Drosophila melanogaster: one gene and its partner. Changing the gene in region 1 together with any one later gene gives a genetic interaction. Each region holds a gene or a part of one and is shown in the gene's direction. Other genes may lie near its edges.

Evidence for each region.
Region 2: of PolH (region 1) and nopo, changing one suppresses a phenotype caused by changing the other (phenotypic suppression), as found in Drosophila melanogaster (one study listed by BioGRID).

What each region holds. Positions count from the first base shown.
Region 1 is NT_037436.4:21,937,358-21,943,817, reverse strand, and holds PolH (DNA polymerase eta), read left to right. Parts: upstream 1-2,005; 5' UTR 2,006-2,048; coding exon 2,049-2,480; intron 2,481-2,534; coding exon 2,535-3,031; intron 3,032-3,089; coding exon 3,090-4,818; 3' UTR 4,819-5,184; downstream 5,185-6,460. Other genes in the region: CG14562 (uncharacterized protein), read right to left, coding at 1-72; SLC22A family member, read right to left, coding at 5,301-5,498, 5,564-6,460. UniProt on the Drosophila melanogaster protein: DNA polymerase specifically involved in the DNA repair by translesion synthesis (TLS). Plays an important role in translesion synthesis, where the normal high-fidelity DNA polymerases cannot proceed and DNA synthesis stalls.
Region 2 is NT_033778.4:18,178,156-18,183,357, forward strand, and holds nopo (no poles), read left to right. Parts: upstream 1-2,461; 5' UTR 2,462-2,566; coding exon 2,567-2,682; intron 2,683-2,741; coding exon 2,742-2,957; intron 2,958-3,015; coding exon 3,016-3,369; intron 3,370-3,429; coding exon 3,430-3,487; intron 3,488-3,542; coding exon 3,543-3,662; intron 3,663-3,718; coding exon 3,719-3,922; intron 3,923-3,984; coding exon 3,985-4,224; 3' UTR 4,225-4,364; downstream 4,365-5,202. Other genes in the region: CG5726 (uncharacterized protein), read right to left, coding at 1-378, 1,316-1,677; CG5721 (uncharacterized protein), read right to left, coding at 4,386-5,202.

The sequences.
Region 1 (6,460 bases):
CGCCAGGATGTCACCGTTGAGGGCATACGTCTGCTGCCTGGCAAAGTTGTAGGCCTGCAGGATCTTCACCATGGTGGCTCTCTACAAAAAAGACGATGAATTCTTTTTTTACGGCACTCTAGAATTACAAACTAAGCCCTCAGCTTAGTGGAGTGACTTCATCGCCGGACGTACACAGACTGATGGCCTCACCGTGAATCAGCCACTAGAGCAGGGAGTTCTCTGACTGAGCGTGGGACAGAGAAAGGGAGAAGTCCGAGTGACAGTGGATTGGCGGACCGCTTAGCGGGGCTCAAGTGGTTCTTATTTGGGCATGTGAACCATTAGCATAATTGTGCGCTTATACTGGGGTTAGGGATCGGAAGAGTGGATGTGCCGATGAGGCCTAAGGCTAGCGCATATGGGCAAGCTAGGCTAGGATAGGGCAGTTAAAAAGTGAAGCACTTAAATTTAATAAGAGTTAGCCGCAGAATATTTCGGGATTGTAGATAAAGTCGCGATCAAAATTAAATCTTTAATCGGTAAAAATTTTGTTAATCTACGATATATGTATGTATACTATCTGGAGTCACAAAAAGTAGGGAAGCAAATAAAACTGTGATAAATACATTTTAAATTGAAAATCCAAAAATATCACTCGCAGTACACCTTTTTCATTCACCATCCGTCTTTCAGAATCATAGATATGCAATCGAACTTTTGAACACCTTTTTTAAAAGAGAGAGTGGTACATTTGGTAAAACAAGAACCCGTCCCAACGTCGTGCGGCATCAAGTATTCCAATAGGTCAGTGCTGCACCTTTACTTCAGGTGGAAGTCCTGCGTTGTTGTATTGTACGCTTTGACCATAGAGTAAACAGACAGGAAATTAGGTCACGATAGTATACAAAAACACGCCCTTCCTGATTTCCGCCGCCCACCACCACCGGCATTCTATGAGGCGATTAAAGTGGGCCCGGTATCCCAACCCCGATTCCGAGTAGCTATACGTGAGTTAGCCCAATTAAGCCATTGGACATTCGCTGGACATACCACTCGGCGCATCAATCAAAACAGCCGGCCAGGAGGCGGACACGGAAGTGGCATAGCCGGAAATAGACAAGGATTGAGATTTATTTCTGGTCGCTCGGTCAAATCAATAATTCCCGCGTAATCCGTGCGTTAACCCAAATGAACTTGGGAAATGGAGAAGCCAGAACATGCAAATGTGTGTTACGGCGGGGAATGGGGTCACTAAGAGATGTGTGTGCGTTTTCAGTTGCATTTTGGCAGCGGCTTATATGGAAAAATCAATATCTAAGCATTTTGTTAGAAGGTGCCGCTGGAAACTTGGCAAATAATTTACTCTTTGGCAATGTCTTACGTTTAAACTCGTTTTATTATTCCATACAGAAAAACAGAAGACAGGGTTTAAGGATTTCTGAAATGCATTCTTCTTCGGCGTAGATGTTCCGACAATATATGTTACTTATTATTAGGTGGTAGTTATGCCACGTAAATATAACTCCCAGGACTCCCCGGACTGCACATAATATTTACTCGCGTTTGTTTATATTATTTCCGAGTGAGAAACGACAAACTATAAAATATCCAATATAGTGTGACCAGGTTTTGCTCTAATGCGAAGTACGGATTGGGTAGAGATAAGTATTTTTCAAACTACGCTAGACTACAAAGCATCGATACAAGGGTACGTTATTTAATACTCTCTAATTTTGAATTTCTAAATAGCTTAGTAATAAGAGAGTCTTTAAAAGTATAAAGCTCCACTACTATCGAAAATATGTTTTCAACAAAATTCTTTACTTTTACTTTAAGGAATATCTAACTAAGAAATGATTTATATCGAAGATATAACACAACTGCTTTGATATGTGTTAAAGAGCATATTTTTATTATTATTATTCCGAATTCTTTTATCAGATTTAAATATGGGAAACACTTTAATGTATTCAGTATTCAAAAATGCATCGGTATTTTAAGAAGTCCCCGCCACGGCCACACTCCTGGCGCGCAGTGAAATTCGCGCAATAATACGAAATGAAATCATGTCCAGCGCACGCAGCCATGTCAGCATGCAGAACAAGTACGACCGCGTGGTCCTGCTGGTGGACATGGACTGCTTCTTTTGCCAGGTGGAGGAGAAGCAGCATCCGGAATACCGCAACCGCCCGCTGGCCGTCGTCCAGTACAATCCCTGGCGAGGTGGCGGCATCATAGCAGTGAACTACGCCGCTCGTGCCAAGGGAGTCACTCGCCACATGCGCGGCGACGAGGCGAAGGACCTGTGTCCGGAGATCGTGCTCTGCCAGGTGCCGAATATCCGGGAGAAGGCCGATACTAGCAAGTACCGCGATGCCGGCAAGGAGGTGGCCAACGTGCTGCAGCGATTTACGCAGCTCCTGGAGCGCGCTTCCGTGGATGAGGCGTACTTGGACATAACGGAGACCGTTAACCATCGCATGCAGCAGATGCAGAGTGTAAGCTCTGGCACATAATTTTAAAGCGTTTTATTATTATTTTCCTCGTTGCAGGGAGCCTTTGCATTGCAACCGCAGGAACTGGTGAACACCTTTGCTGTGGGCTATCCCAGCATTGGCGACTACGTCAACAAGATAACAAATCGCTTCGCCAATCCCTACATGGACGACGAACGCTACCAGATGTCCTACGACCAAAACGACCTTCCCGCCGTCCGACAAAGCGACATTCGGCTTCTTATTGGAGCCTCTGTGGCAGGTGAAGTCCGCGCGGCTGTAAAAAAAGAGACAGGCTACGAGTGCTCGGCTGGCATAGCGCACAATAAGATCCTGGCCAAGTTGGCAGCTGGAATGAACAAGCCCAACAAGCAGACTATTTTGCCGTTGACGGAGACCGCCAGCCTCTTCGACTCCTTGCCTGTTGGCAAGATCAAGGGGCTGGGTGGCAAATTCGGTGAGGTGGTGTGTGAGACATTAGGCATAAAGTTCATGGGCCAGGTGGTCAAGTTTTCGGAGGTAGATCTGCAGCGCAAGTTTGACGAGAAGAATGGGTGGGTCCCTTAAGAGGAGTAGACCACGTTCAAAGTAACTTATTTCCTCTTATTCCAGAACCTGGCTATTTAACATCTCTCGCGGCATAGACCTGGAAGCCGTGACTCCCCGCTTCTATTCGAAAAGCATTGGCTGCTGTAAAAAGTTTCCGGGTCGAAATAACATTACGGGGTTGAAAACCCTTCAACATTGGCTTGGTGAGCTTTCCTCCGAGATCAACGACCGCCTTGAGAAGGACTTCATCGAGAACAATCGCAGGGCCAAACATATGGTGGTGCAATATGTGCAGGACATTGACGGCGAGGAGGTGGCCAGCTCCCGCTCGACTGCTCTCAGAGATTACGACCAGGAGTCCATCGTAAGGCTTTCTCTAGACCTAATCAAGGCAAACACTAAAACGTTTCTGCGTCCTGGTAGCGAGTCTGCTTTAAACAATGCTATCAAGTTCCTTGGCATTAGTGTTGGCAAGTTCGAAACCGTCTCTAGTGGGCAAAACAAGCTGCAGGAGATGTTTGCTAACCAGGCTGCCAAGAAACGAAGGGTAAGTGGAGATGAGCCAGGGCAACTGCCTAAAGTTGAAATGGAGAAAAAGCAGAAGCAAACGGACGAATTTAAGATGAAGAGCTTCTTTGCAAACTATTTGCAAGGAGCTAAAAAAGAGGATGCGAAAGCAGACGGCATTTCTGCGAATCCCTTGGCTGCTGCAGCAGGTGCTCCAAACAAGAATTTCGTAGAGGAATACAAACATAAGCTTCATGCGGCCGTAAGGACTGAAGGAACTGTTCTCACATCAACACCAGCGGAGTTCAAGGAAAGCTTTTTTTCACAGTACCTAAAACAACAAAAAAAGACAGGACAGCAAGGGTCGGTTACATCGAGGGAGGACTCCTTAGATGTGCAGGAGCTGGCCGAGGAATTGGACGCCATTGAGGCTGACAATTCGAAAGATTTTGAAGAAGACACTGAAGAGGAGACGGAGTTAACTAGTGATACCCACATGTCTAAGCCTGAAGGACAGTCATCCGATGCCGGACAAGAACAGGATCCAAACACCTTGAATGATTCAACAGGGAATGACTTATACGTTGAAACTGGTATTGTGCCTCCCACGCTTACTGAAGACGAATTGAAGCCTTCAACATCAAAAAGAAAGTTCGATGAGATCGAAAGTTCTGTAAGTAATTACAAGGAGTGTTACGTAGAGTTTGCAGTACCCAACCTTCGCACCGATATCTTGCCTACTATCAAATGCGATCAGTGCGGAGCAAACATTCCCGACGAAGTTAAGTCCCTACAAACACATAGAGACCATCACTTCGCCCAGGAACTAAGCCGAACGCTAAGAAGCACCGAGCGGGAAGAGAGGACGCAGAGCCGACAGAAGATATCTCTTAAGCCGACGCCACCCAAAAAGAGCAAGAAGACGGCTGGTTCTGGTAGCAGTTCCTACAGTACGGCACCACCGAGTAACAGCATAACCAAGTTCTTCCGCGCCAAACCAACTCAGGAGCAAGCGCCCAGTGATCCACAGATGAATCAGTGCCCCGAGTGTAAGGCTTTCATCAAGTGTGTAGACATGCCGGAACACTTAGACTACCACGTAGCCAGAAACCTTCAACGTGAACTAAACCAGCAGGATCTGCGAACTCGAACCGCAGCTCTGAATAAAGAAAAAATATCTCCAGTTCAGCCAAAGAAACAATCTCAGAAGAAACTGAACTCAACCATTTCTGCATCTTCAAGCGGAACAAAGACAATTGCCCAGTTTTTCAGCCAAAGCAATTAGAGAAACCCTTACACCGCTCCAAGTATTTGAACCTGTATAAGTACCTACGAATGGACCACAGACAAATTTACTTCACTTTAAGATTAAAACATTTTCACATTCAATTCCAAATTAAAAAACAATAATAATTTTTTGCTAGCACATATCCTAGTTATTAAAATCTCAATCTGGCTCTGGACAGCAAATTGATTAGGATTGTTTATTTCTTTTTTTTACTGCTGTTTATTATTTTTTTTTTCAAATCGAGTAATGAAACTCTTAGATTTAATTTTTTTTGTTTTATTTTTCCAATTTTAGGCTTAAGTATTAATGTTGATCATTACCATTACCATCCATCCGTTAATTAATAAAACACAACGCTCTGTCAATGCTAAATATTTTATATGTATAGTATGGTTTGTTCTTAGCGTTATAACACATTTGAAGAGAAATGTATTTGTCTTTGTATTTGCAGGCTGCCTTAAAATAAGATTACGTTAGAACTACTGCGCTTGAGTGGCCGTGACGACTAGATCAAGATCCTTGCTCTTCGATTGCTTCTTGACGCCTATGGCGTCCGCTTCCTGCACTGTTGTAGGTAAAACTACGTTGGTGGTCTCTGGAAAGAACAGCGTGAGCAGGCCGCTCACGATGGCGGCGCCGGCGAAGAGCATGGCAGGAGCATTGGCATAATACTTGGCCTGTGGAGAAAGGGAAAGGAAGCACTTAGATATAACAGGAGATCCTTGTAGCTTTGAGCACCCACCAGAAGAGGCGTCTGCGGGGCCAGCATGGAACCAAACCTGCCCATCATGGAGCAGAAGCTAAGCAGACTGTTTCTCAGATTCGTGGGATAGATCTCTGAGGCGAAGAAATAGAGCACCTGGAAGCTGGCAGTGATGGTCAGTTTGCCAACAAGAAATAGCACCAATTGAAGCACTGGCTGATCCGCGCCGGTGAATATCGTTCCGATGCAGCAAAGACCGCTGGCTAGCATCAGCCCGCAGAGGGAGTACCGCCGGCCGAAACGGTCCATGATGAGCAGGGGCATGAAGAAGCCTGGAATCTCAACCAGGGCGATGTAAGCGAAGTTATTGTACTTGTCTCCATCCAACAGCACAACATTAAGGCTCAATCCGTAGTAGACCAGCACGTGGACAATCCAGCAGAGGGAGCAGTTAGCAATGCGCCACTTGAAGTTCTTGAAAGCCTCTCGTATGGGGAAACGGCTTTCCGACGACTGCTGCAACTTGTCCCGATTGGCCAGCACAAGCTTGTCCAGCACGCTCTCCGGCAGCTCGCGCTTGTTCACATGGGCGGCTCGCCGAAGGATATTCTTGGCCCGCTCCTCCTTGCCCTGACTAAGCAGCCAGCGCACACTCTCCGGCAGGATCCAAAAGTAGGCCAGCAAGATCAGCGAGGGCCCGTACGTGATGCGCAGTAGGATCCGCCAATCGTGGAACGCCTTGGCGGACATCGCGAGCAGCACCTCACCCACCGCGTAAAAGACCGTAATCACACTGCACGCCAGCACGCGTCGCTTGGGTCCCACTAGCTCGATCCCGATCACGAAACAGGTGGAGTACAACGTACTGCTGGTCATGTTGTCCAGGAACTCGAACACAAGGAACCAACCGTAGCTGGGCGAGAAGGAGCGAATTAC
Region 2 (5,202 bases), on another chromosome or scaffold:
TCCCCATTCAGTGTGATCTGTGACAGCACCAGGCGGGCAATCCGAGTGCCCAGCACCACCGACGTGTCATTGAGCTCGCGGGTAAGCAAGTCCAGCAGGGACTCACCCAAAATGGTGATCGGGGTATTATCCGCCAGCCTTACCCTGTGATAATATTCACCCAGCAGCGTGATCGAGTTGTACAGTCGGTTCTTGTCGTGCAACCGATATGCGTCCGCGTTGAGGAAGTTTGTCTCCAAAATCTTGAGCATGGCGCTGCGCACCTTCGTCTCTTTCATGGCCAGTGCGTCGAAATTTCTCGATGAGAAGAGCAGGGCGAACTTTAGCGCCGTATCACCATCGCTAAGCGCCTTGTCGTTCAGGTACTCCATTGACTCACTGAAAATTGCAAATACAATTAGTTTATTTACTTTTCATTTATTAGTATGTTATAATAATCAAGTCTACTACTACTTCATAATGTTAAAGTTTGCACTACAACTGTGTTTAACACCCCCACTGATATAACGCATAGCAGCATTGTTTGATAAGCCCAAGCTGCGAACTATTTGTTCAGCAATTAACTCGAGCATGAGCCTGAGAGAATCGGAGGGAAAAATGTTCACTTTGAAATGATTCGATGGCGCCGATGTCTCTCTGCCCGTCTTTATTTGTATGAAAAGTTGTAAATTTTCAAGACACGCTGACGTTCGAGCAACCTGGTCGCAAACAACGAACTCGTGCACGAACACATATACACAAATACAGTGCTTTTCAGATTTATAAATCGATTTTTAGACATTTAATAAAATTGAAATGTATATGTAGAAGGTCGCAAAAACTTTTTCGAACCTAAAAATAATGAAGTAAGAAGAAAAGTTTACAAAGTTGCACTTTAAGAACCCAAGGGTTCTTGAACGCGTAAAAACAAATTAACGTTTGAACTTGATTAGTAATTCGGTTTCTGCATTTCAAGCATTTCATTATTGGAATAACTTATAGAATGCTGTAACCTATGGGCGAACGCCACAAGCTCCCAAATTTAACGAATTACTCATGCTACTTGTAATGGAATGTCATAAATATTACAATAAGGATCGGTCTTCGCCAGGCAGATATGTACTGCATGCATTAAGTCTTGTTATCACATGGCTGGCTTTGATGGGCTTGGGAGCTCGCCTTGCCCATATGCTATCGCACCGCACTGTACCTACGCCGGGTATTTACATACATCCATATGTATATGCGAAAAGAGGTGGCAAATAAACACACTACTTATGATATGATTAATCATCAATGAGCGAACCAACCAAACGGTAGAGATCGGCACACATACCAAAGCATAGACTCGTCGCGCACTATGTTGCAGAAGTCCGTTTCGATGGTCTTGATCTTGGAGTTCAGCACAATGCCATCGTCCTGCAGATCAAGGTTCCTCATCAGGGCGATGATGTGGTCGTAGGCATAGCCACCTGTTTGATTTTGATAGGCGGCGGGGCCAGTGTTCAGGATGGTACAAACATCCCGGAGGCGCGCTCCCGTTCCCTCACCACCGCCCCCGCTACCGACACCACTGTGCGAACTGTGACCACTGTCCACCGCACTGTTGTTGTAGCTGTTGTTGCCGTAGGAGGTGGTGTTGCTGCTGCCACCGCCGCCACTGTTGCTGCTGCTGACCATGTTGTTGGCCATTTCCATTTCTCGCCGCGATCACTGCCGTTTGTTGTTGTTATCGCACGGTTGTTTGTCTGTCCCTTCCACACACACTTCAGTGTCTGTTATATTGGTACGCGCGTGTGTGTGAGTCGTCGGTCCACCAAATAAGAATCAGCGTTGACAAAGGTGTCGAAATGCGCACGCCAAATGAAACACCTTTTCGCTCAGCTTCCGCTTTGGGTGCAGGTGCAGTTAGCTCACTGGGACCCACGGTCGATTGAAACGCAAATAACGAACGAAATTAAATGCACAAATTTATAACTATTCCTATTTATTATTGCTATTTGACGACTTTTAAAAGAGGTGGAAAAACATCGATGTGTTGTGTTCTTTAAAACATCGATGTTTCTCCACCTCTAGATAGCATTGTCGCGATATCGAAAGCACACGGTGTGCTTTCGTAAATAGCGCCACAGTGCTCCCGCTGTTATCGATAAGACCACCATGGGGCTAAAGTACGGAGCATAAGTAGCTGGATTTAAGATGGATTGGCAGAATAAAATATGAAATTTATATCCACAGTATATCTTAAGAAGTAGGGTTTAAAAAGTATCCACACATACATATCTTTCTAAAATTTAGGATGAATTTTAGTTTCAGTGGCTGAGTAAGCGTATTTGTAAACATTATTTGTTGTTTCGACTTAAGCCAAGTTAGTTAGCAATTAGTTTGTCGTGGAAATATCTATCAGCTAACAGTTATTGTCTACAATCGATTCTTGACAAATACTGGTGTGGTGAATTCCGCTCATTGGAGCATCGTAAAATCGCCATCAGTCAGCTGTGTTTCGTTGGGCGCGCAAACTGTTCGGCGTGCGTTTATTTGTTGTTCTTTTGTAATAACTATTTTTATGTAGTTATTTGTGCCAAAAATGTTGAACTTAAACTGCGTGATATGCGCCGAATTGTTTGGCCAGGCCGACGAGGTTTTTGCCACAGTTTGTGGTCATATGTTCCACCACAACTGTCTAAATCAATGGCTCGATCGGTAAACAACGCATAAGGATATTTCTGATTCCCGACAATAAAATCAAATATCTTTCGCAGATCAAAGACCTGTCCTCAGTGCCGGAATAAGTGCACTACCCGCAACATATTTAGGGTCTATTTCAATCTGGCCAACTTGGATGTGAGCCACATCGATGTTGGTTCACTGCAGGAGCAGCTGGACAATGCGATGTTGTCCATGAAAATGGTCGAAAAAGAGCGCAACAAGGATGAACAGCAGATTCGGGATCTGAAGGAAACACAAAAGAAGTGCCTGTATGCTTTTGTATACACATTGCCTTAAGTACCAGACTGATGCATTTCTCATTTGCAGCAAAACCATAGCCGGTTTGGAGCAGAAGGTGCAAAAGAAGGATTTTCTCATCAGCAGCTATGTCGAGCAAATTGGCGTCCTCAAGAGTGATGCCCATGTCGTTGATGGGTTGCGCAAGGAAAACAAAACATTGAAATCACAGATCCAGAGTATGGAAGGCATATCGGCTATTCTGGCGGCTGGCTCGGCGGATGCCGACCGCTTGCTCAAGAACGAGGCTGATCCACATGTCCTAGCCAACTGGGTGTCCACTCTCAAGAGGGAGTTGCGACAATGCGAGAGCAAAAAGACGGAGCTCAGGAATGTAGTGAAGGTGGTGCAGAATGATCTGCGAAAGGAGATCGAACTAAAGCGGTATGCTCACAACATTCCAAACGTGGTTTTTATAATTGATATGTGCTCATTCGATTGCAGCAAGCTGGAAGAGCGTGTTTCACACCTGGAGAGCGACCTTTACCAGGCGCAGGAGAAGGTTTGCTGAGCCTTCTTTAACACAATTTCGATTAAACATACTATTATCTTTTCAGCTACAAGCTTTTGAGAACAAGACCGCTTACTTGGACTCACCAAATGCCTCTTGTGGTCTGAACAGCAACATTTTGGCCCTTAAAAGGGAGGAAAGGCGTACCACTATTTCCCCTACAGTTGTGAGTAGACACGAATAAACGAAAATATAAGCTACTAATATTTTGCTGCCCTACAGAAGGAGAATATTAAGCGCATCGAAGAATCCACCTCCCCATATCTCAACATTAAATCCAGCAGCGTCGGGTTGGCGCATCTTCTTAATACTAAGGGTAACATTGGGCTGGCCAAGTCTAAAATATCGCCCATCAAGGGAGTCGGTGGCGGTGTGTCTATGACCAGCGGAACCATACGGAAAACCAGCAGTGATCTCAGTGAAAAGGTAAACGCAATAATTTTGCCGAATTCCACTTAACCATTTAAAAATTCCGTATATTCCCCCAGTATTCAATCTTCAAGAAGCCAAGACTGCTGCTGGGAAGTTCAAGTAGTTCTGCGTTGACGGCCACGACGGGCTCAAATTTTGTCTACAATGGAATGGGCGGTTCTGAGAAGGTTGACCCCTTTGCGCAGCGCGCCGAGGAAGAGGGTCTTTCCACAATCAGATCCTCGACCGCCCTTTCCCGGAATGTCAACCAGCGTCTTAAAGCCGGCTCGCTGCGCAACTTTAACCTGGGCAAATAAGTCCACAGCCATGTGATCATAAGAGACTGCCCCAGTTGGGTATTAGCACGCGATTGGTATTGAGGATTGCCGATTTTGTTAGTTAGCCAATGCATGAATTAAGCAATAGTAATAATTTAGCAGTAAATATATAAAAATACAAAAGGCATATGTGTGTGCGATTAGGCGGCAATTTTTTTCTCCGCCGTGCCCGTCCATTCCTCGCGCAAGTGGACACTACAGCCGAGGTCGCGCAACGCCGCCTTGATGTCCTGCTCCACACTGGGGTGCTCCTTCATTGCCATATTTAGTAGATCCTCAACGCCGAAGGAGATCCAGGTTTCACACTGGTTCCGCGACCGTGACACCATATTGCGGATGGCCCACGCTCCGTTTCGCTGGACTATCTTGTGTTTGGGATGGGCGCGAAGAGCCTCCACGATTACTTCGGCGATGCCGGTATCGAAAAAGGCGGCACTGTGTTCCTGCACTCGGAGTGTCAGAGTAGTCACGCAGGCCAAAGCGGCGGCAACGATGTTTTCATTGGACTGGTGCGTCTCTAGCAATTGCTTTATTATAGGAGCCACGCCCTGCTGTACTATATGTGACTTCACGGAGTCTTGGCCAGCCAGGGCACGTAGCAACTTTAAGGCCTCTCTATTTAGACGCACCTCATCCAAATTCGAACTCATGATCTCGAAGACGGACTTCAGTCCACCAGCCTCGTCGATAGCTGTACAGAGTTCCTGACGCACAGCCAGTGTTCCAATGGTCAGCAGAAGATCAGCCAGAACATTAGGATCCTGATAGGCCGGCAAAAGTTCCACCAAGGTGATGAGCACCTCGCCTGCTATTTGGCGGGCGTGCTCGTGGGCGCATCCAAACTCAACGCGAATGTCATCATCCAGCACTAGGAAGCGGAAGACGGCGGTCAGTTCACGCACCAGGCGGTCCTTCCCTTTCCCTAAAAGGGGCTTCATGAGTTTGAGTGCGGAGGTA